2 linked regions of the Stegostoma tigrinum genome follow. The protein of the gene in region 2 interacts with the protein of the main gene of each other region in a pairwise test. Links are inferred from orthologs where the notes say so. Each region holds a gene or a part of one and is shown on either strand. Other genes may lie near its edges.

What was found.
Region 1: the proteins of pex13 (region 2) and pex14 interact in a two-hybrid assay, tested with the Homo sapiens proteins (2 studies listed by BioGRID and IntAct, with this or other methods). The link is inferred for Stegostoma tigrinum from reciprocal best matches to the Homo sapiens genes PEX13 and PEX14.

The regions. Positions count from the first base shown.
Region 1 is NC_081381.1:13,579,544-13,592,215, forward strand, and holds the start of pex14 (peroxisomal membrane protein PEX14), read right to left. Parts: upstream 5,682-12,672; 5' UTR 5,613-5,681; coding exon 5,580-5,612; exon of another isoform or gene 5,514-5,579; intron 1-5,513. Other genes in the region: dffa (DNA fragmentation factor subunit alpha), read left to right, coding at 6,377-6,476, 11,897-12,064. UniProt on the Homo sapiens protein: Component of the PEX13-PEX14 docking complex, a translocon channel that specifically mediates the import of peroxisomal cargo proteins bound to PEX5 receptor.
Region 2 is NC_081362.1:41,434,322-41,447,429, forward strand, and holds the start of pex13 (peroxisome biogenesis factor 13), read right to left. Parts: upstream 6,747-13,108; 5' UTR 6,614-6,746; coding exon 6,543-6,613; intron 1-6,542. UniProt on the Homo sapiens protein: Component of the PEX13-PEX14 docking complex, a translocon channel that specifically mediates the import of peroxisomal cargo proteins bound to PEX5 receptor.

The sequences.
Region 1 (12,672 bases), on a different chromosome or scaffold from region 2:
AATCTTTCATAACAAGGTGTAGAGCTGGATGAACACAGCAGACCAAGCAGCAGAGTAGCAGGAAAGCTGACGTTTGGGTCTGGACCCTTCTTCAGGAATGATCCAGACCCGAAATGTCAGCTTTCTAGTTCCTCAAAGCTGCTTGGACCGCTGCGTTCATCCAGCTCTATACCTTGCTATCTCAGATTCTCCAGCATCTACAGTTTGTAATATCTCCCTTTTAATCTGTCATGACAGGAGTAGGGGCGCCCTCTAACAATTCCTCCTGAAATACTGAGAGAAGCTTGTCTAATCTATTAAAAGAGGGGTTAAAAGAAAGAAAATCCCTGATCTCCACTTTACAAGTAACAAGAAACAATTTATTTATTTAACACAATGAACAAATTAACAAAATTACTAACAACAGACAATTTGTCCTTAAGTCTACTAACTACTTCCTAACTGGTCTAAATTCTACTGGAATGCTGTTTAAATAAAGACAAGTCCCACCAAGATAAACCCAATTAATAATAAACAATAAATTAAAACGTAGTCTCTCCAAGCTCACAGACTGTCTTCCGGAATATTCTGTCATCTCCAGGCTCTTCACAAACACCTTTCTTCCATTAATTCTGCAGTCAGGGATATTTTCTCTCTATAATTTCTTCAGTGAAGACTTTGAGCTAAAATACCATGGCACCTTTGATTAGTTAGATGGGCTTTCTGAGAACTGTATCGTACGAACTCTGGCAGGTGGTGGATGGCTGTCTCTTTCAGGTGGCAGTTGGCTCTCAGACTTTCCAAATGCCCTTGTCTTACACACCCCCAATGACATAATCCAGTTCTTATGATTGATTTCAGGTTGTGAACACCAGATTTAAACTCAACCGGCTTTCTGTATCTAGATGCTTCATTTAAATTAATTGGCAAAATTCAAACTTGTTGTCTCGGAAAAAAATGCTGCACGGCCGTTCTATACGAAATGTTTCCATGTGGGCACTCTCTATGCACCTGCATTTATAAGCTTCCAAGCACGGACAAAGCACAAGTTCTTAAAGGGACCACAGCACTTTTTCCCCACGATTATTTTTATCCACAAATACTAACTCCCTGCCTTCCAATCCATGAATGCTCCACCCAAATTTGTAACAGTGGCAAGGCCATTTGTTGCCCATTCTTAATTAGCCCTTGAACTGTTTGGTTTGCTATGGTCTTTTCAAAAGATAGTTAAGAGGCAACCACAGTGCCATGGGTCTGGAGCCACATGCAGTGTAGATGGGGTGAGAGCAGCGGATTTCTTTCCCTGATGATCATTAGTGAACCAGATTGGTTTTTACAATAATGATGATTATGTAACCATTATCAATTAGAGTCTTCATTTCAGATTTTATTCAACCCAAATTTCACTATCTGTCTTGGTACAATTTGAACCATATCACCAGAACTTCAGCCTGGAGTAGCAGATTACTAATCCAGTGCCATACAGCCTCCCCTAAATCCTGGTTTCCTTATTTGAAAGAAATACATGGAGAAGATACAAAGAGGTACCACAAGGCTGATACTAGAACATTGGTTTAAATGTAATCAGAAAAGATTGAACAGATGGGGACTTTCCACTCAAAGAGACGACGGAGGGGTGATCGGATAGGGACCCATGGCGCAGCAGCGATCTGGTAGATTACATGATGATTCCACATGCAGGAAGACAGATAAATCAGAACCATAAATATGATAAATAAAAACCTAATATGTAATCTAGCAGGAGCTTCTTTATCCAGGGTAGTGAGAATGTGGTACTCACACACGTTGGGTGAAACTGAAAATGGTGTACATTCCATACATCAGATAATGCAAATTGTTTTAAGGGCTTCATCTGTCTCCAAATAGATTCACATTGTGCTGTGTCAAGGAGACCTTAATATACAACTGGCTGCAGTAGAAATCATAGGAACATGCTCACACTGTGCTGTGGGAAGATAACTTTAAACATCCTCTCATCTCCTGTAACAAATTAGGTTGAGGTACTCTGACAGACCTTTACACATGCTGATTTCCTAAAGATTATTCATATGGAATTACCTTTTGGAGGTCCACTTTGAATGTTTATATACAGCCCTAAATTTCATCCTAACTTTATAATGCCCTTTATTGTGCATGTTATATACAAAAAGATATTAGAACAAATACGACTGCCTTAAAATAGATTATTTATTCAGTGACTGATCTAAATCCAGGCTAATAATACATTGCTTAAAATAGAGACAGGATGGTCCCTGCAGCTCAGATTTTCTGGGCCAAGGCACATTAGGCAGAAACACCCTGCTGTAGGAAGGATGTTATTTAACTGGAAAGATGCAAAAAAGATTTACAAGGATGTTACGGAATTTGAATGGTTTGAGTTATAAGGAGAGGCTGAATAAGCTAGGACTATTTTCCCTTGAAGCATAGGAGGCTGAGGGGTGACCTTATGGAAATTTATAAAATCATGAGCAGCACAGATAAGGAGAATAGCCAAGGTCTTTTCTCAAGGATAGGAGAGTCCAAAACCAGACGGCATAGATTTAAAGTGAGAAGGGAAAGATTTAAAAAGGTACCTAAGGGGCAACATTTTCCACACAGAGGATCGTGTGTGTGTGTGTGTGTATATACAACAAGCTGCCAGAAGAAATGATAGATGCAGGTACAATTACAACATCTAAGGGAGTTTTGGACAGGTACATGATAGGAAAGGTTTAGAGGAATATGGGCCAAATCGGATGAGTTCAGTTTTGGAAACCTGATTGGTGCGAACAAATTCAGCCAAAGGGCCTTTTTCTGTTCTGTATGATTCCAAGGCTGCTGTAAACAAAACAGAGGCAAACCCTGAAGTATCATCACAGGGCATGCCAAAAATTGCCAAAACAAAAACAAACAAACAAACAATCAAATTGTACCTAAGACTTGGTTGAGTGAAGTCCACACTCAGCCTAAAACTCCAGAATAAAAAAGGAATATGAAATACCACAAAGAAAGCAACATAGGAAGCCAATCAGATCTTAAAATTCAAGTTTCAGAATTAAATTCCATTCTGGTGACAATTGGCCACCAATTGAACAGCAAAATTCATTGAGAAATATAATTTTTTGAAACAACTTTATGAACTGAATAATTGCTTGGTAATACAAATCTTGAATCTTGCAGAAGAGACATCTTTCCAAAGTCGGGGATAGTAAGAACTGCTGATGTTGGAGTCTGAGATAACACAGTGTGGAGCTGGAGGAACACAGCGGGCCAGGCAGCAGAGGAGCAGGAAAGTTGACACTTCGGGTAGGGACGGGTCCACACCGTGTTAGCTCTTTCCAAAGTCTGATGTCTTGTCCTCTTCAGGATAAATGCAAAAATGCCAAATTTTAAACCATCAGAACTATTTATACCCAAAACTTTCCCAAATATGAATTTCTCCTCCCCAAAGAAACCTACAAAAAGTATCCAAATAATTCCACTTTGTTTGCAACACAAAAATAGGAATTTCTCATATGCAAAATACTAGAGATTCTGGAGATCTGAAGTAAAGTGCTGGAGAAATTGAGGGTCTGTCAGCATCTGTGGATAGAGAAACAGAGCTAATGTTAAGAATTATACTGGACTCAGTTTCTCTCTCCACAGATGCTGCCAGACCCTCCGAGTTTCTCCTGTACTGTTTCACATGATTACTTTCTAAAAAAATGACTGCTTGGAGCATACAAAAATATCTGGGATGGATTTAGAAGCAAATTTGATCAAAGAATCGAAGTTAACTTGCGAAACCGGAAACTGTGAACTGGAGAAAATAAATTATGTGACCTTGGGGAAAAACACACTTACGGTCTGACACACACAGCCATGCTGGCTTGGTGCAAAAATAACAGAAGAAGGAGTCCCACATTCCCCACCTTTACCTTGTAAACCTGCACATACACTCTGGAAATGAAAAAAGAAAACATTAGGAATGCTAAGCAGGTCGAGCAGCATCTGTGGTTGAAAACCAAAGAGAACTGTGGTTGCTGTGAATCAGAAATTGCTGGAAAAGCTCTGAAGGTCTGGCAGCATCTGTGGAGAGAAATCAGAGTTAACATTTTGGGTTGAGTGCTCCTTCGTCCAGTCACCTGACCTGAAACGTTAACTCTGATTTTTCTCCACAGATGCTGCCAGACCAGCTGAGCTTTTCCAGCAATTTCAGTGTTAGCATCTGTTGTTAACTTGGATTCTACATCCACTCAGTTCAACAACCTTACACCACAACCAGATTAGAAGTTGAAGTTGAGAGCTTGGTCAGTAACTATCTAACCTTCTGAATATCCCCAGAATCTTCCCGTTTTACCTAAGTTCCCCAACATTGTTTACTTAGTTACAAGAACAAAAGCATTTTTGGTCAATAGTGCTGTTTAGTTTGGATAGATACTATCGGCACTCAACAACACATGGCCACACCCAGACCGAGACAGCGGAAATGCAAAATGAAAAATAAATAAACTGAAAAACAGTATTATTGGCATATAAGTAAATGCATAATTATCAGCATAGCTAACAGCTAAAAACTGAAACATCAAGAAAAGGGCATTAGAAACAAGATCAGAGGCTGACCACAAGCTCTCAAAAAAACTGAGCATTGAATGGAATCTCAGGTTTATCCAGTGTATTTTTTCCAAATAACCTCATATCTAATAAACACACTCATATACCTTGTATTCCTCTAAAAGCAGTGAGACGGAGACGAAGTGAAGCATAATAAGTACTTCATAGACAAAAAATTACCAAACACATAAATACGATTGCCCCTTTTTAATGCACTGGACTTCACTCTGATCTGACAGTACTTCTACAAGGGAAAAGCGATTATAGTATCTGGGTTACTGACGTTTCTGAAAGCGAACAAAAATAAACCAGTGATTTGGATCAAATTCCCAAATGGTAATGGAGGAAAGGAAGGACATGCAGGCAAAGGAGTGTCAGCGAAGAACAGAAGGCAAGGGGAAGAAGGGGAGAAGGCAACAGAGTAGGGGAAAGGAGGGGTGGGCAGAGGGGCAGAGCAAGAGATGGGAGGAAAGGCAATGAACAGAAGAGACAGCACGTATGTTGGGGAAAGTGCAAGCGAGGATGCGTGGAGGGATGAGGGGGGAAGACAACATGAAAGGGGATGAAGCAAGAAGGGAGATATCATGCGAGGGCATGTTAGGAGAGGCGCAGGATGGGGGGGGGGGTCGGTTGAGCGTCAGCCGTGTGGGGGGGCAGCTGACGGTGAACTGGGGGCGGGGGTAGAAGGCGGGTTAAGGTTGAGAGAGAAGGTAATGTGAGGGTGAGAGGTGGTGATGGTGGTGGGGGAACAAGAGATTGATTTGGGGGGAAAGGGAAAGGGGGTATGAGGCAGGCAAAGGAAATGTATGGGTGAGTGAGGTTGGAGGAGAGCTGTGAAGGAGGTGAGTGGGGAAGGGAGAGGTGTACAGGACGTCGGGGGAGGGGGGGATGTGAGCGGAAGGGATGTAGGGGATAAAGTAATGGGATAGCGATTGAGGTGGGAATGGAGGGGAGGTAAGTTTGAGGGAAGGTGGGAGATGTGTATGGGCCACCCCGGGGTTTCTTACCTGTCGCGGCTCCGCCTGCTCAAAGGACGCCATCTTTATGGACCAGAGCAACCGATCATAGCACGGTCGCTCTCCTGTGCCCGAGGCGACAATATCGATCGCAGAACCCCTCAATCACCAACGACAAGGACAAAAACATCACCTTTTCTGGTAAAATGAATTCAAGTAGAGATTTATAAAATCCTAACCTGATGTAAAATTGTGGATTATATTCAGAACATACAGAAAATTAACGGACCGTTGGGGCCGAAGCATTATGGGAGTTGTAGTTTTTATTCTGGGTTGGCATGATCACACTCAGGCCGTCGCTTTATTTTTTTCTCACAGTGGACCTTTTAAATGTTTTTTTAAGCTTCCGACAATCCACAGCCATGGCTATAATCATTTTTCTCCCTCGTTAATTCAGACGGGGAAAAAAAATTGTCGGTTTGGAGCGCATGCGCAATAACAGCCAGCCACCACTACTACAACAACAACTGGGAGGGACGGTGCAGAACATCTGTGGGGAGAGGGAATTGTATATTTACATTACTTTGCGGCATCAGCTCTCTGTCCTAGTGTCCCTTGTTGCCATTAGCGGACTCTCGAAGTTCAGTTACTGTGGGAAACGCAGGGACCTGGTTGTGCACAGCAAGATCCCACAACAGTAAGGTGAAGAGCTACCAGATAATCTGCTTATAAGTGTTTGGGGGGGCGCTCCTCACCCATTAGTCTTAAGGTATCTAGACCATTCGCCTTCGAAAGCAAACCAGGTCTCTCTCTGCCTCACTCCTGGAGAGGGCAGGGGGTGTTCAGCCATGGATCAAGAAAGAAGATTTCCCTGCAAAATCTGTGGCTCTAGCCGTCTTCAAACGTTCGGCGTCGTCGTGAAGTCTTTGGAAGATCTGGTAGCCAAAGGTAACCATTCAGAAGCCCTTGTCACCTTGGTACACAAGCGAAGCCAGAAAGACTGTCATTGTTTGGTATGCTGGCTCCCTGGCCCCATCCCATTTTTAAACTTCCATCGGATGGGGAGGTGGGCCACGGGCAACAGGGCATATGTAGCAGGTCTGACACCTTAATAACAGTCATATTAAGTCAATCCAGGAGGCTCTTGTGGTGTAGTTGCAGTGTCCCCACCCCTGGGCCAGGATGCTGTGAGTTCAAATTCCACCTGCAAAAGCTTGTAATAACGTGTCTAAGATAACAAAGTGTGGGGCTAGAAGAACACAGCAGGCCAAGCAGCATCCCGCACACTTTGTTATCTTGGATCCTCCAGCGTCTGCAGTTCCCATTATCTCTAATAACATGTCTAAATAGGTTGATTAGAAAATACCTAAGCCTGATTAAATGAGGCCATTAAGATTTGTCTTGTATCAGAGATAGTAGGAACTGCAGATGCTTGAGAATCCAAGATAACAAAGTGTGGAGCTGGATGAACACAGCAGGCCAAGCAGCATCTCAGCAGCACAAAAAGCAGAGAGGCTCTCTGATGAAGGGTCTAGGCCCGAAACGTCAGCTTTTGCGCTGCAGAGATGCTGCTTGGCTTGCTGTGTTCATCCAGCTCCACGCTTTGTTATCTTGGATTCTCCAGCATCTGCAGTTCCTACTATCTCTGATACAATTTTAACCCCACTGCAAAGCCTCTTCCAGGGATGCCTAACCTGAAGAAGTTACCCTCCTCCCTCCGGACCAACCTCAGGGAATCTCTCTCCCACTGCACCATCTTCGGTCCGCCTCCCCCTCTCTCCCTATTAATCCAGTTCCCTCTCCCCATCCCCCTCTCTGATGAAGGGTCTAGGCCCAAAACGTCAGCTTTTGTGCACCTGAGATGCTGCTTGGCCTGCTGTGTTCATCCAGCTTCACACCTTGTTATCTAAGATTTGTCTTGTGCTGTTCCACTTTCAAAATCCATTTTTAAGTTTAGTGCCTAAAAAATTAGGATAGAGTGAGTCTGTGTTGAAGTGTGCATTCTTATCCTGTTTCATTGTTCCTGTCAAACTCAAAGACTTGCTTCTAGCTTTGGAGTCCACCAAGCAAGTTAACTGAGTGCCCATGAAGGTTGCAAAGAGTGTTCTGAAGAAGTCATTCCGGTGCAAAATGTTAACTCTTGTTTCTTCACAGATGTTGCCAGATCTGCTGAGTTTCTCCAAATCCTTGGTGTGTTGCTTTGTTAGAAACAGTGTTAGTTTCTCAAGTTAGAAAACATCTATTATTACAGTTTTTTTTGTTACAGATCTGTACTTGTGATTTTAATTTACAGCCTCTTAGCTTTCTGTCTGACCTGTCCCAATAGATGGAGCTGGTTCACGGCATAAAGAGGCTTTTACCTTGGTTTGTAACTCATGGACTTTGAATCTAATAACCTTGGTTGTATAAATATTGAAAAAGATTTAAGTCACATGCAATTACCCACTCAAAGTAAATTTGGCTGGGTTATAAAGAGTTCTGATTGCCTTGACATGGATAGAATGATGCGTACAGAGTTTGCCTCTTCTACCCTAACTGTTTTTTTCATTGTACTGCAGCAGGATGTTGAAATGACCCATCTTGATGTATAACATGTACATATTTTTCCAGTGAGGCTCATTGTAAGCTTGAAGAATTGCACCCACTAAAAAAATGACTGCTTAGAGCATACAAAAATATTTGGGATGGATTTAGAAACAAATTTGATCAAAGAATCGAAGTTAACTTGCAAAACTGGAAACTGTGAACTGGAGAAAATTAATTATTTGACCCAGGGGCCCATGTATGAGAATCAAAAAGGTTCAGAGTTGGAGGAATTCAAGGGAGGGTAGCAAATTGAATCCAAAAGTGACCTTGTGTTGGAGGAAGCAAAGGGTGACGGTTGAAAGTATTTTTTGTGACTGGTGGAATTCCACAGGACTTAGTACTCATTCCCTTGCTTTTGGTAATTCATATCACTAATATAGACACCATTGAAGGAGGCATGATAAAGAAGTTTGCAGATAATACAAATGTTGGTCGTGTAGTTTGTGGTGAGGAGGAAAGTTTTAGACTGCAGGAAGCTAGAGATGATCTGGTTATTTGGGCAGAAAAGTGGAAAATGGAATTCAATCCATTGAAGTAGATAGTGCATTTTAGGAGGTGCAACAAGACAACGGTAATACACATTAAATATGAAGGTACTCAGTTATGTGGAAGAGCAGAGAGACTTTGGAGTGGATGTCAACAGATCCTTAAAAGCAGCAGGACAAGCTATAAAATGATTAAATAGAATATAATTATGGTTTCTTTTATTAGCCGAATCATAGAATATAACAGCAGGGAGACTATTCCAGCATTTTTTTACACTGCTGGTTAGAGGACCATTGTTACAAATGTGAGGCTGCATAAAATGATTATGTTTAGACTAACTCCTTTAATTAAAGATAAAATAAAATTGTGTCTGTTGATCTGCCCAGCAACAAGTCCAAGTGATCTGACTGCCTTGGGGACAGGTCCCTAACACCTGGAGACAAAGGATTACACAGCTGGCCTTAGTAATACCAGAAATACTGACTGAGACATCCTGGACAGAAAGGGAGATAAGGGAGCAGCAGCTGCTGTCAAAAGCAGAGGTAAAAGGCTGCTTTCTGTGAACCAGCAGGTGGATTTCTGCTGAGGACTCCTTCTCTGCTACAAGAGACAGAGTTGTGGAGATTTCTGGACAAAAATCCCATGTGTGACTAGAAAGAGTTGGGTTAGGGATTCTCAGAAGACAAGTGGAAATGACTTTCAACAGACACTACAAAACGGGAAAATGAGCTTTTTAGAAGTTGGCGGTACCTTTGGTCTGGTTGCTGTAAAGATGTCAGTTTTGCAGAGAAAGCACAGAGAACAACACAGCACAGGACTAGGCCTTTCAGCCCACCAAGACTGCACTGATTTCTACTTCTTACTTAGACCAACTACTTATCACCCATACTCAGTCACTATCTCTCTCTTCACCTCCTTTTCGTGTGTCTATCAAGATACACCTTAAATCTTGCTAACGTGCTTGCTTCCATTAGCTCCACTAAAAGCACATTTCAGACACCCAAAACCCTGTGTGTGAAAAATGTTCTACACACTTCTCCCCTAAAATTTCCCCCTCTCGCCTTGAACCCGTATTCTCTTGTAGTTGACCTTTCCACCTTGGGGGGAAAAGCCTCTGACTATCCATCCTATCTATGTCTCTCATAATTTTGTAGATCTCAATCAGACCACCCCTCAGCCTCCATCTTTCCAGTGAAAATAATCCAAGTTTATCCAACCTTTCCCCATACCTAAAACTCCCCAGACCAGGCAACATCCTGCTAATTCTTCTGTGCACCCTCTCCAAAGCATCCACATCTTTCTGGTAGCATGCAGTATTCCAAATGTGGCCTCACTAAAGTTTTATACATCTGTAACACTACTTCCCACCTTTTATATCCAATAGCCCAGCCAATGAAGGCAGTGTGCTAAATGCCTTCTTGACCCTTAATGCATCTGTGTTGCCACTTTCAGGTGTCTGCGGACCTGTACACCCAGTTCCCCCTCTATGTCAATGCCCCTAGGCCTCTGCCATTTATTGTATAATTTGTACCTGAATTTGTTCTTCTAAAATGCATCACCACACATTTGTTTGGATTGAATTCTCTCTGCCATTTCAGTGCCCAAATCTGCAATCTATCTATACCTTACCTTATCCTTTGACAATCCTCACTATCTACAACTCTGCCAATTTTGGTGTCATCCACAAAAATACTAATCAGACCACCTATTTTTCTTTCCTGCAGATCATTATTTATATTAGAAACAACAAAAGTCCCAGCACTGATCCTAGTGGAACACCACTAGTATGTATTGTGAAAACAAAAACAATGTAGGGTTTTTGGTTATATTAGGAAGTTAAAGGCGGATATTCTCTGTAGTTTAGTGCATTAATTACCTCCTGAGTAAAGTTTACTCAGTGGTGATTTAAACATATTTGTTACAATTAATGTCTTAATATGTGAAATCATGTGATGTTATCATTTAAGTTAGTCACTGGGAAGTCGGATCTCTTTAAGTTTTTGGTCCCTAAGGAGATCATTAATAAAAGCTTAAGTACTGCAGGAAGTTTTATTCATCACATTACAGCAAAAACGATGGTGCAGAATAGTTTGAGGATGTAACCATAATCTGGAAAATTTTAGGTTTGAGGAAGGATTCGGTAGTCTTGAGTTTGTTTTCCTTGGAACAAAGGAGGCTCAAATTTGACTTATTGCTGTTTATAAAATTCTGAGAGGCCCCAATAGGATAAATTGGAACAACTCGCTTACTGTAGCCAAAGGATCAAAAATTATGGGGATCATAGATTTAAAGCAGTTGGAAAAGGCACTAGAGGGGGAGAGGAGGAAGTACCTTTCACCCAGAGGATGATAAGGACCTAGAATTTACTGGCCAGAAGTGTGGAAAAGACAGAATATCTAAACCCTAATTCAAAAAGTATGTGGATGTCACTTGGACGGCAGTACTACATAGAAACTTCCAAATGGCGACCAAATGAAATGTTCAAAAAAGACTAAAATACAATGAAAAGCCTGCATGTTGGTTTAGAATAGCAGTAGCCTTTCAAAGTTAAGTGATTGCATCCTGATCTGTGTTGCTATCTGTTGTCAGTGCAAGTTATGTATGTGTGCTTTTCAAAAAAAATAAAGTTGTGGGCCCTGCATGTAGAGCAGAAGAATCTCTCCTAACCTGATAAACAGTTGAGTTCCCCAATGTTAAGAATCAGTGCAATATTTTTATCTATGTTTGACAGTGCATTTAACTTGAAAGCTTCCTTTTAAATCCAAATGTTATGAACAGCAAGTGATGTCTTAATGTAGGCCCAAAGGTGAAATAAGTTACCTATAATGATTACGCTCTCTTTCTCAGTTGGAAAACCTTTTTTTAGCTAAGACTAGAACTTGTTTACAAACAATGAAGGGTCTAGGCCCGAAACGTCAGCTTTTGTGCTCCTAAGATGCTGCTTGGCCTGCTGTGTTCATCCATCTCCACACTTTTGTTATCTCAGCTATTGATGCTGATCCTTTTCTCTTACAACATGTAACATTGAGATGCAGATCAAACGATTTAATTTATAAACACACATTCTGCAGGTTTATGCTGAAAGGTTGAACATGCAGGATATGTTAGGCATATTAAAGTTGGGTTATTTCCAGGATAAGCAGTGCCATGATACAGTTACCAGCAATGGGTTACAGAAATTGTTTTCATGGTTGGGAACTTCACATTCTGCAATATCTTAAGTGTTTGCTTCAGTTAGCTAAACTTTCAGGAGATTTTACTATCTTCTAACTTGTATTTTAATTGTTTTTGTCTAGGGAGAGAAAAACTATGTTTTGACAAAAACGATGCACAACAAGCATTTACAGTTGTGCTTGAAGATGATGGGACAATTGTTGATGATGAAGACTATTTTGCATACTTACCAGAAAACACAAAATTCATGATCCTTAACTCTGGTCAGGAATGGACTCCTGCAAACATAGGTAAGTTGCTCTTTAGAAAACAGCTGAATGCTCATGTTAATTATGAACAGGCAGTATCACAAAATTTTAAGGACGTGAAATTACATAGACACAGTATTTCTGATATTGCTTATCCATAATTTTCCCTTCCAAAGGATTTGGTAAAATTCAGGTCCAGAGTTTTCTGCTAGAGGATCAATGAGTTTATTGTGAGCACTGTTAATGTATAAATCATCCAGCAAGTTATGACGGAAAGGAGACCCTGTATATTATGATGCCCCATATGTTGCTGGTGGATTTCTGGAAAAATGGTACCTCAGCTTTTCCATTCTGCAATGTGATCATATTGAACACAATCAGTAACTTCATTGCAGGCATTTCCATCATACCACTATTAGCATCAGGCCAGGGGAGCAACCATATTTTAGTGAAGAACGTAGAAGAAGATACCAGAAGCCAGGCACACCTAAAAGCAAGGTGCCAACTTGGTAAAGCTACAACAAAGAATTATATGTATGATAAAATGTGAAAGCAACATGTCATAGACAGCTAAACAATCCCACAACCAATAGATTAGATCAAAATTCTGCTACATTCACTTGTGAATGATGGCGGTGGAACCCAATATA
Region 2 (13,108 bases):
CACAGACATATCTCTGGGATGACTATCATATTGTATGTGATATTTATTTCCACTTGAGGCATCAGTTCATGTATCTTGTTAAAAATGCTGCAAAAATTCAAATAAAGAGCTTGAAAAATGAGCAACCTTTATCGCCTGGAAGAACATTAAAATATCACAAGTCAGTAATCTAACATCTCAAAGGTTATGCCCGAAGACATATTTGGAAGCTCAATGACTTGTGGTAGGAAGAAAAGGTATGCAAGATCCTCAACAGTTTGCTGAATATCATTACCTGCAAAGCTCTTTTTGAACCCACCAGGACCATTGATAAATACGAAAATTTGTAATCTAAAATTGACAAAATGCTTTTTGGTCTCTTCTCAAGAATGACAAACCCATTAATCTTCACTTAAAACAACTGCTGAACTGTGAATCCACAGCAGATATTAATAACCTTCAAGCTACCTGCCAATACCATGTGTTAGAATCCATGGCTCAGTCACCAATGGAAGAGCTACAACAGGTTATCCAAAGAATGAAAAGCAACAAAGCCTGTGGCTCCAGAGGTACTCCCACTGAGGCCTTCAAAGCTGCTGGGCTTACGTTCACATCAAGATTCCATATGCTCATTCTATGGTCCGGCAGAGAAAAACAAATAATTCTCTCGCCTCATCTCCCCACAACTTCACGAATGCAACATTTATGGCTACCTATAATAAGGAAAATGAATCATGTTGTGAAACTGTAGGGTTATTTCCATTTGTCTGGAGCAGGGAAAATCCTGACATGGATTCTCCTGAATGACATACTTCCTGTGGCAGACAAAATCCTTGCAGAGATATAGGGTGGCTTGAAAACTTGTAAAGGAACCCCTGACATGGTCTTTCTTATCAGACAAACCCAAGAAAGATGTTGAGAATAGCACCAGGAACTCTTTGTTGCATTCACTGACCAGACCAAACTATCTAACACAGTAAATTGTGAGGTTCTATGGATCAGAATGTCCAAAAAAAAATCACAATCCTGCAATGATCATGATGATGTGAATATAACTAACTACCTTAAGGGGAAGATCTGAAACAGATGCTTTCAAAATCCTAACTGGAGTCAAGCAAGGCTGTATGTTACCTCTCATACGATCTATAATATGCCTAACAGTAGATACTCACAGATAAACTGCATTCCAATGTCAATATTAAATATTGCCTGGACAGAAATCTCTTAAAATCTCTGTACCAAAGTTGTCTCTGTGCCAAAACTAAACTAACCATCATAATCATACACAATTTATACTTTGCAGATGACTGCAACGTTGCTGCCTATTCTGCATCAAAATTTGCAATTCTACAACCAAGAAATTTGACTGGCCCTTGAACTTTGCCAAAACAAAACTAATATCAACTCTCAACTGGTCAGCAAAATATTCTACCTCCCATACACATTGAAGGGCAGTCACTGAAATATATTAAGCATTTCCCATAATGTGACAGCCACCCCTCTCAAAAGGCAACCATTGATGAAAAGATCCCACACTGGGTCAGCTACATCAGCTTAGCCTTTTACAAACCGTGGTGAGCGTTTGATAACAAAGACCTGCCGAAGTCAAAATAGGTCTTAGAATGCACAGCAGCTACTGTCACCACACTAATGTTCTGCAGTGAGAACTGGACTATGATCAGCAGTACACAAGAGTACTAGATAAACACCATCAGCGATACCTCTGCATTAATTCAATACTTTTATTCCCTCTGCAGCAAATGCAGGTAGAATATATTTCTTTGAAGTCTCTTGCATTTTCTGGGTGCTTTTTTAAATTCTCCAGTCTTGCCTAAGACATCAACATTTACTTCAGCTATCCACTTCCACTTTGTATACACAGAATCTATTAGTGTATGTTTCCTGTCTCAAGCTAGTTTATTCTCAATTTATTTTATCTTTGTAAAAAGAAAACATCTTTTACCGGATTTGTAAACTTTTCTCAATCTTCTGGTCTACCCCGGATCATTGCAACATGGTATTATTTTTCTTTTAATTGCATCCTTACTTCTCCAGTTAGCCATCTGTCATGTGGAGTTTCTCTCTCTCATTGGAATATATGTTTGTCGAGCATTATGAATAGCTTCCTTAAATGCTCACTACCATCTTACTTTCTAACTTATTTTCTGTCCTCCTTAGCCAATTCTGCTCAGACTCTTGTACAAAGCTCTTGACAGACCAAGTTTGGAAATTTGTGAGCAGTTTAGGAAGGATGTGCTGGCCTTGGGGATGGTCCAGAGGAGGTTTACAAAATTGATCCTAGAATGAAGGGTTTTCATATGAAGAGTGTTTAAGGATCTAGGTCTGTACTTGAGTTTAGAAGGATGGGCGGGGGGGGGGGGGGTTTATGTATCTGATTTAGACCAATGTAATGCTGAGAGGACTGGATAGAGTGGCTATGGAAAAGACGTTTCCACTAGTAGGAGAAACTTGGACCCGACAGCACAGCCTCAGAGTGAAGGGATGACCCTTTAGAACTGAGCTACTGTGACAGTACAATGCCATGAGGAGGCATTTCTTCAGCCAGAGGGTGGTGAATCTATGGTTTCATTGCTACAGAGGGCTGTAGAGGCCGCATGGTTGAATGTATTTAAGACAGAGTTAGATAGGTTCTCGATTAGTTAGGAGATCAAAGGTTACTGGGAGAATTGAGTTGAGAAACATAATCAACCATGATGGAATGGCAGAGCAGACTTGATGGGCTGAATGGAGTAATTATTTTCCTGTATCTTATGGTGATGTTCCCATGTATCTGCTGTCCTTGTCCTGTCAGATGGTAGCGGTTGTGGGTTTGGAAGGTGCTGTCTAAGGACCCATGTTGAATTTCTGCAATGCATTTAGTTGATCGTACACACTATGGCTACTGAGCATTGCTGGCGGTGTGACTGAATGGTCATGGACATGGTGCCAAACAAGCAGACTGTTTTGTCCTGGGTGTTGTCAAGCTACACTCATCCAGGCAAGTCAGGAGCATACAGTTACATTCCTGGCTTGTGCCAAGAAGATGGTCAACAGGACTTTGGGGAATCAGGAACAACTTACTTACTGTGGCATTCCTTGCCTCTGACCTGCTCTTTTGGCCACAGTATTTGCATGACAAGTCTAGTTCAGTTTCTGGTCATTGCTAACCAGCTGGATTTTGATAGTAACGACATTGTGATAGGTACACCACTGAAAACCAACAGACAGTGATAGATTGGAAATGGTCACTGCCTGGCATTTGTCTCGCGCAAATGTTATTTGCTAGTTTTCAGCCGAAGCCTGGATACTGACCATGTCTTGTTGCATTTGGACATGCTCTGCTTCAGTATGCGAGGAGTTATGGAGGGTACATTGTGTAATCATCACAGACGACCTAATGAAGAAGGAGAGGTCACTGATGAATCAGCTGATCTGTGGGCCTATGACACTGCTCTGAGGAACTGCGGCAGTGATGACCCGAAACTGAGATGACTAACCTCCAAGAACTACCACCATCTTACTTTGTGTCATTATACAGAAAAATCGACCCAACTTGTTTTTTTTTTTAAAATCACTCATGATTTTAATCTCCATCTTCCCATCAATCATTGCCAAGACACCACCATTGGATATTTGTTTCCAATGCTGGTACTTAACTATCTTTCTCTATCTAATTCAACTTAACAATCCTTCTGATTCCTGAAATTCTACTCTCAATCAAACACACCCATTTGATTTTCTATCCATCCACGCATTTCTACAGCCCCAGGTATTCAATGTATAAAGGCACTGGTCCAAGCATGGTTCACATGAAGCCTATCCCAGTGGAAAAGCTAAAGTATTGTGCCAGTGTTTTATCAATTGAAACCCATCTTTCCCACAACAATTTCTGGAGTCCTACATTCAATCCCCTGATCAGTGACCCTGTGCCAGTTTGTTTGTGATTGAGTTAGTAATCTAGAGCTTACTGTATTTGTAGTTGATTTTAAATTAGCCAATGGCTGCTAAACTTCCATGTTCCTACCTATGATGACGATGCCTACGTGGACCACAATAATTGGATCAATGCCCTTGCTGTTCAAGGTTCCTTTCCTGTCCCCGATGAGCTTAATCCTGGCAAAGGGCAGGCAACCCAGCCTCTAAAGCTTATACTCCTGACTGCAAAGAACAGTAGCTATCCCCCATACAGTTCATACCAATCCTACTTTCTCTTTTCTTCCTTCAACTTATACAGCATACTATGAAAGAGAAATCATATCACAGAATAATATAATCCCTACAGTGTGGAAAACAACCCCTTAGGCCCAACAATCCACACCGACTCTCAAAGCACCCACCCAAACCCAATCCACTCTAACCCACCTAATCTACAAATCTCTGAACACTACGGACAATTTAACATTACCAATCGACCGGAGGAAACTGGACCACCGGGAGGAAACCCACACAGACACGAGGAGAATGTGCAAACTCCAAACAGACAGTGGGCAGAGGGTGGAATTGAACCCGTGTTCCTGGCGCTGTGAGGCAGCAGTGCTAACCACTGTGTCACCATACCGCCCCACAAATATAATCCCTCAGGATCAATCTTATCCCATCAACACAATCTTTATAATCAGTGACCACCATTGCAGTCAAATAGTATACTACTACACACTGGGCAAATTCCTTCTTTGTCAATCCGTTCATAACCAAAGAGTCACATGTGACTATTACTGTTCTTGGACCATTAGCTCTGTTGTTCCTCAAGCATTTATCCTTAGCCCTCTTCTAGTTCTCATAAACACACTGCTTCTTGGGATATCATTCAAAAGCACAAAGTGCAAGAATAGGCACTTTCCCTCTGAGCTATGCAATACGATTATAGTTTATCTATGATCTCGCTCCACCTTTCGACACTACCTAGCGTACCCCAATTCCTTTAGCACCTAAATATCTACTCACTGTTTTGAATATAGTCAACAATTGTCTGCAGCTACCTGGGATGGCATCGCTGTCCGTTGAAAGAAGAAATTTCTCATTTCACTGCTAAGTTATTGAATCATACAGTTATAGAGGACGGAAACAGACCTTTTGGTCCAAGTCGTCTGTGCAACCAGACATCATAACTGATCTGGTCCCAGTTTTTTTACCAGCATTTGGCCCATGTCCCTCTAAACCATTCCTATTCATTTACCTATCCATGTACACTTTAACTGGTGTAATTGTACTCACCTTCACCAACTCGCACAGCAGTTCATTCCATGCCTACACCACTGTCTGTGTAAAAGCACTGCCCTCCCCTGCCAGGGGCATTCTTTTCTCTGCATCCATCCTGGCAAGCTCATTAAGAATGATTTGTGTTTCTATTTCATCAGATCTAATTCCTTTAAATGCCAGGGAATAAAGGTCTACTTCTGTTAATCTCTTCTCATAGGACAATTCCTCATCACGGAAAGCAATCTATTAAACTTCTGATACATTCTAACTATGACACACTGACAAGACACACTTTCCTCAAACTAAAACTGCTCACAGTTTTCCAGATATACCCCCGTATAACTGAGGTGAGATACCTTTACTCTAAAATTCCAAGCCCTTTGTAATAAATAGCGATACACCATTTCCCTACATATGTTACTTGCTGTTCTGCTTGTTAACATTCTGAGATTCAGGACTTTTAAAATGACTTCAACAGTCTAGATGGATAACTTTTCACTTTGTCAACTTCTATTCATGCATTAGCTTTCACGTGTGCACTAATGGCATCCAGGTCAACTTCACTCGCACCTCCAGTATCTAAATTGTCACACAGCTCGTCCAAAATTCAATACTAAAAGGACAGACATTTAAACCATCGAAATATTGCTAAATCCAAGATTATGATTTTGTTATTAATGTTTTTGTAGCTGAACAGTTTCTGTAGTATAGAAATTTCTGACTCTCTATATAGTTATGTTGCAATTCCCGAATGTCGATTTCATTGCTCAATGTTGCTTCCAACCTTCATTCAACAAAAAGCCCAGTGGGAACTGATTACTCCCGAAGCATATTGGTTTCATTATCGGAGCACCTTATAAAATTCGTATCCATCACAAATTACACCGCATTAAAAGGTTGACTAACTTTACAATCCTACTGTTCAGAGCAGAAGAGGAATTTGCAGCTTTTCGGGGGTTTGGAGCACAACAAGCGGTGGCAATGTCGGGTGAAGTCACCCCACACTGGGCCTAGCCATTGATGTTCCCTCCGAAATGTTGAATGTTTGTTACTTTTAAACTTTACGGAGTACATTTAGCGCGGTGACTTCTGAAAAAAAAGCTTAAAATGAAGAAATGCTGGGAACAACTCGTTAGCATTTCGAATAATTCTCTAAACCTCTATCCAACTTGCTCAATCACATCACAGACACCTGCCACACTCCACTTGGCAAGTGCCGCTGTTATGATTTTGAAATCGGATTCGGTTCGAAAGACGATGATATTTTAAGAGTTCACTGTGGGTTTTTTTCTTAAGCGGAAATGCCATTAAGGCTTCACACCGAGCCACGGCCGTGCACATCATGATCACCGAATAACACTTACTGGAAAGAGGGGGCACTCAGGTTTCCCGGGATCCGTCTTTCCCAGGGTTTCGCTGGCGGCTGCGACCCCATAATCTTCAGAAAAACATACGCTCGGAATGACCTCTCGGCCCCTCAGCTTCACTCCCATCAGAAATAGCAAATAGGACAGAGGGTGACATCCGGACAGACACAGCGGCCAACAGAAGAAGAGGATACATCCAGACAAGACAATAATAGCCAATAAGACACAGGGATATATCCGGAAAGACATTATACCCAATAGGATAAGTGGATACAACCAGACAAACACTGCAGCCAACAAAAAAGGGTGATACGGCAAGACGGACGGTAGTACCCAATAGAATACATTGATACATCGGACAGGCATAACAACCAATACAACATGGAAATGCATCCTGTCAAACACTGCAGCCAATAGAAAACAGGGATACACACAGCTCGGCACAGTAGCCAATAGGACAGAGACATGCGCTGAAGCACTAACCAATGGGCTCTCGGGATAGATTCGAACTCGGAGTCATGAACTTGCAGCAAGTCAGAAAGCAGTCTCTGCGTCTGTCTGTAATCACTTCCGGCATTGGACTGTGGCTGTGGACTTGTGAGTTTACTGATGTATCGCTATATTTAACTTTTGTTTGTTCTGAGGACCAAGTCATTTGACTGAATACATTATAGTTTACCTATATCAGTCTTTTCTTTATGAAAGAAAAGATTTAACGCTAGTTAAATAATTGCAAAGTCTCCTAAGGCATGTGCAGGAAGATGTAAGTCTGTGGTGTCTTGCAGTGCTTGTTATTTTTATAGACTTTTCAATAGTCGTTTAAAACAGGTTGTTTAATCTGAAGTCGTTTCTTTTACTGTAGAAAAATTTTGATTCTTGTATGTAGAATTGATTTTTCTGTATCTTGTCTGGTCTTTTTTTTTTGCATTGTCGTATATATGTTCATTTTGTTCCTCCTACCAATTCTTCAATTACCCTTCATAAGATGAAGGAGCAGAAATTAGGTCATTCGGCCCATCAAGTCTGCTGTGCCATTCAATCATGGCTGATAAGTTCCTCCATCCTATTCTCCTGCTTTCTCCCCATATCCCTTGATAAACCAGAACTTATCTATCTCAGTCTTAAATGTACTCAATGACCTGGTCTCCACAGCCTTCTGTGGCAGTGAATTCCATAGATTCACCACTCTCTGGCTGAAGAAGTTTCTCCTTGTCTCTACTTTAAAAGATCTTCGCTTTACTCTAAGGCTGTGCCCTTGGGTCCTAGACTCTCCTACAAATGGAAGCATCTTCCCAACATCCACCTTGTCCAGGCTATTCAGTATTTTGACAGTTTCAATTAGATTCCCCATCCTTCTAAACTCCAATGAGTGTAGTCCCAGAGTCCTCAAATGTTCCTTTATATGTTAAGCTTTCCATTCGTGTGAACCTCCTCTGAACCCGCTCCAGGGCCAGTACATCCTTCCTGAGACGTGGGGCCCAAAACTGCACACAATACACAAAAAGTGGCCTAGCCGGTGCCTTTTAAAACCTTGGTAATTCATCCCTGCTTTTACATTCAAGTCCTGTCAAAATAAATGCCAACATTGCATTTACCTTCCTGACTACTGACTCACCCTGCAAGTTTACCTTGAGAGACTTCTGGACTAGAACTCCCAAATCTCTTTGCACTTCAGACTTCTGAATTTTCTCCTCATTTTAGAAAATAGTCCATGCTTTTGTTGTTCTTACCAAAGCGTATGACCTCTCACTTTCCCACGTTGTACTCCATCTACCACTTCCTTGTCCACTCTCCTAACGTGTCCAAGACCTTCTGCAGTCTCCCCACCTCCTCAATACTACCTGTCCCTCCACCTATCTTTGTAACATCTGCAAACTTAGCCAGAATGCCCACAGTTCCTTCATCTAGATCATTTAAAGTACAAACTGAAGAGTTGTGGTCCCAGCACCAACCCCTGCGGAACATCACTAGTCACCGGCTGCCATCCCAAGAAAGACCCCTTTATCCCCAATCCCTGCTTTCTACCAGACAGCTAATCTTCTATTCATGCTAGCACCTTGCCTCTAAAATCGTGGGCCCTTATCTTACTTAGCAGTCTCCTGTGTGGCACCTTATCAAAGGTCTTCTTGAAGTCCGGGTAGATAGCATCCATTGGTTCTCCTTGGTCTACCCTGCTTGTTACTTCCTCAAAGAATTCTGGCAGATGTGTCAGGTATGATCTCCCTTTGATGAAACCATGCTGACTTTGCCCTATTTTACTATATAATTCCAAATATTCAGAAATCTCATCCTTGACAATGGACTCCAAATTTTACCCACGACTGAGTTTAGGCTAATCGGACTGTAATTTTCCGTCTTTTGCCTTACTCCCCTTTTAAACAGGGTCACGTTAGTGATTTTTTCCAGTCCTCTGTGACCCTCCCTGACTCTCGTGATTCCTGAAAGATCACCACTAACACTTCCACTATCTCTTCAGCTATCTCCTTTAGAACTCTGGGGTGTAGCCCATCTGGTCCAGGTGATTTATCCACCTTCAGGCCAGTCAGTTTTTCTAGCGCCTTTTCCTTGGTGATGGAGCTGAATATGGAGGCTGTCTCCTGACTCTTGAATTTTTAGGATATTACTGGTGTCTTCTACCATGAAGACTGATGTGAAGTAATTCAGTTTCTCAGCCATTTCCTTGTTTCCCACTACTATCTCTCCACTGTCATTTTTCAGTGGTTCAGTGTCCACTTTTGTTTCTCTTTTGCCCTTTGTATACCTAAGAAAATCTTACAGTCTTCATTTATATTACTGGCTAGCCTGCCCTCACATTTAATCTTTTCCCTCCTTAGTTTTTTTTTTGTTGTTGCCCCCTGTTCATCTTTGTAAGCTTCCCAGTCCTCCGATTTCCCACTGCCCTTCTTGACATTATATGCTTTCTCTTTCTTTTGTTTTTATGCTATCCCTGACTTCCTTAGTCAGCCATAGTTGCCTCATCCTCCCTGTACCATGCTTCTTTTTCCTAGGGATGAATTTTTGCTGTATCTCCTGAAGTACTCCCAGAAACTTCTGCCAGTGCTTATTCCACTGTCTTTCCTGCGAGGCTCCTCTTCTAGCCAATTCTGCCCAGGTCCTCCCTCATACCTCTGTAGTCATCTTTATTCAGCTGTAATACCATTAGCTCTGATTCTATCTTCTCTCTCTCTCTCAAATTGCAGTGTAAATTCTATCATCTTATGATCTCTGCCTCCTCAGGGTTCCTTTACCTTAAGCTCCCTCGTCAAGTCTGCCTCATTGCACAATACGTGTTATTGAGCATTTGCAGAAAAACACTTTATGTTAATGAGATTGCATTAGTAATTAAACACTTCAAAAACAGTAGTCAGGATGTTGAGATATCAACTCATTACGGTCAGTTGTAAGAGGAGTTCAGAGTGACTGTTTGACACAGGTTTAGAATGAAAGCGTAATACTGCACTATCGTGCCTCCTGACTTGCTGTAGTCCTGTGATATCCACCATGAGACACTTATAGAGGTAATCAGTTCAGTTCAATAAAGACTCTTACTACAAGCCAAGGAGCACAGAAATGTTCAAAGCTGCGAAAAACAACAGGAAGCTACGGAAAAAGAACAAAGAAGGGAATCACGTTAGAAGGCACTGGATGAGGCACCATGCTGCATCTTTACTCTCCTGGTATCAGTTAAAACGAAATATAATATGAAGCAAATCTGACAGCTTTTTTTCATTTGCTTGCAAAATTAAAAAATTGCAGCAGATTTAATTTACAAGCCAAAGCAGCTACAAGTATCTCCGTTTTTTTTATCTCTATGGAGAGACTTGTGAATTATATTCTAACCTAAACCTCTCTAAAGAACAAAAAATATTAGAGAGCAGAAATTTTGAAAACCTGAAGTTACACCATGAACCTCAATTGATGATCAATATATTCAGCATTAAGGCCTATGTCTAAAAGTGTCCATTGATTAAATAGGTGGCTGCAGAATGACACTCTTGAGTCTTGTGAATTGAGAAAACAGGGCGGTACAGTGGCTCAGTGGTTAGCACTGCTGCCTCACAACTCTAGGGACCTGGGTGGAGTTTGCACATTCTCCCTGTGTCTGTCTGTGTTTCCTCCAGGTGTCCGGGTTTCCTCTCAGTCAAAAGATGTGCAGGGTAGGTGGATTGGCCATGCTAAATTGCCCATAGTGTCCAGAGGTGTGTACGTTAGGTGGATTATCCATGGGAAATGCAGGGGTAGGGGAATGGGTCTGGGTGGAATACTCTTTGGAGGGCCACTGTGGAATTGTTGGGCCAAATGGCTTGTTTCCACACCGCAGGGATAGTATGATTCTATGATGATTATGTAATTGAGTCAAGATATGTTTCTCCTTTCTGGAAAGTGATTAACATGTACAGAAATGTGGAGTGTTTAAATCAACACCAAGAGCATATTTATGACAGAACAAACTAGGCCTTTTGGGTATTGTCTTGACAGGTATTCCAGGAAGAGAGAGCAGAGGTAAAGAGCAAGTTGCAACTACATCACACAAAGCAAAATAAGGCATATCCAATTTGAGGTACGTAGTGTTCTTTCTACAGGAAGCAAAATGATTTTGTGGAAGTGTTTGATTAGAAAGAAGTAGAATGAGCAGGTGCAGATGGCCGCTGGAGAGATATCTGCATAGAATTCTGAAGAATCACTCTAAACCATTGAACATGTTAGTTCATTTGTCAGTGTATGATTAATGGTTTGTAACTATTGGGATGATGACTGCAGAAGGAGAATAACAAGTGATTCTGCAGTGTGAGATACACAATGGCGCATCATGAACTTGAGAGGCTTGTGTGAAATGACAACTCAATGATTCTCTTAAGTTGAAAAGTGAAGCTCTCAAAAGTAAAGTCGAGGCTGTATGATGGCACCACACTCATGCTGAGAGAAGAACTTACTTTGATTTGATTTGTTTTATTGTTGTCACGTGTACTCAAGTACGGTGAAAAGTTTTTTGTTTTGCGAGCATTTCAAGCAGATCATAATACTCAAGAACATATAGATCATAGGGTATTTGGATAGAGTGAGGCACACAGATACGTCTGCACAGAAGATGTGTTAAAGCAAGATCAATATTAGATTTGAAATTAGAAAAGTCCACTTAGTGATCAAATAACAGCAGAGAAGAAGTTATCCTTGAACGTGTATCTGTATCTTCTGTCTGACGGAAGAGGTTTGAAGACAGTATTACTGGGGTGGGAGGAATCTTGGATGGCATTGGCAGCATTTCTGTGGCAACGTGACGTGTAGATGGAGTCCTTGGATGGGAGGTTTGTTTTCATGGTGATCTGGGCTGTGTACACAACTTCCTGTAGCTTTTTCTAGGCCTGGGCAGAGCAGTTGCCATACAAGCCATTATGCACCCAGATAGAATGCTTTTTGTGGTGCAACTGTAAAAGTTGGTGAGGTTCTTATGGACTTGTCGGATTTCCAGAGCCATCTGAAGAAGGAAAGGCATTATACTGCTGCCTTGACTGTCAGATCCATGAGGGAGGTGCAGGACAGATTGTTGGTTATTGTTACTCCTACGAACTTGACGCTGTCCACCTCTGCACCATTGATGTAGATAGTGGCGTGTCTTTCTCCTTCCTTTCTGAAGTCATTGATCAGTTCTCTTGTTTTGTTGTACAATGGCATTGGGGCCCAAAACAAGCAGCAGTCATCAAGATCAAGCAACTAACAAGGTAATGGAGTTGACAAAGTGTTATATACATGACGAAGGCAGCCCACAGTGTGATGCCAGCAGGACAGGGCTTGGCGTATCCCTCGTGTAACAAGGACAACAAGCTGTATTTGGATCCAGTGCATTTATGCAAACAAAATGAATATATGCTCAGATCAAGATGTTGCCTGGGTGACTACCTTTGCTCGTGATCATTTTCATTAACACCTAATTGGAAGAGACAAGATGAGTTTGAATCTAGCCACAAACTGCTTCAAACTATTTTGCACAAGGCACTACTATTTACTTCAGAGTATCTGCATAACATGTTAGCCTGGTCACAGAGATACTATGTGAATGTGACATACAAGCAAAGGAAACAGATGTACATCACTGACCAAGCTGCAGACGGCAGATCTCCTTTTTATGACTAATGTAGAGGATGATGTGAGAGAGTGGATTTAGAAGATTTCACAATGTTATATGAAGTCTGTTCTGGAAGTCATCAGCTCAGCAAAGACATTGAATCTATTTTTCTGAATCAACCTGTTCAGAGATGTTATTTATACGCCTCTGGAGCAGATGGGACTCGAACCTGGGCTCCTCAGTTCAGGGGAAGGGACACTACCACTGCATCACAAAGGGGCCCCCAGCAATGATGCTGAGTGTTTAAATGCCTTACTTAAATCTGCAAGTGTTGCAAGAAATCGAGATGACAGGATGGCCTGAAAGCATCAAGGACACTCCTATGTCTCAAAAGTATATTGGGCACACAGATGAATTGACAGCTTGAAGTTGCATATTGTACAAAGGAAATATTTCTTATTCCGAAGGAGTTAAGAGAGATGCTGAAGTGCATCAATGC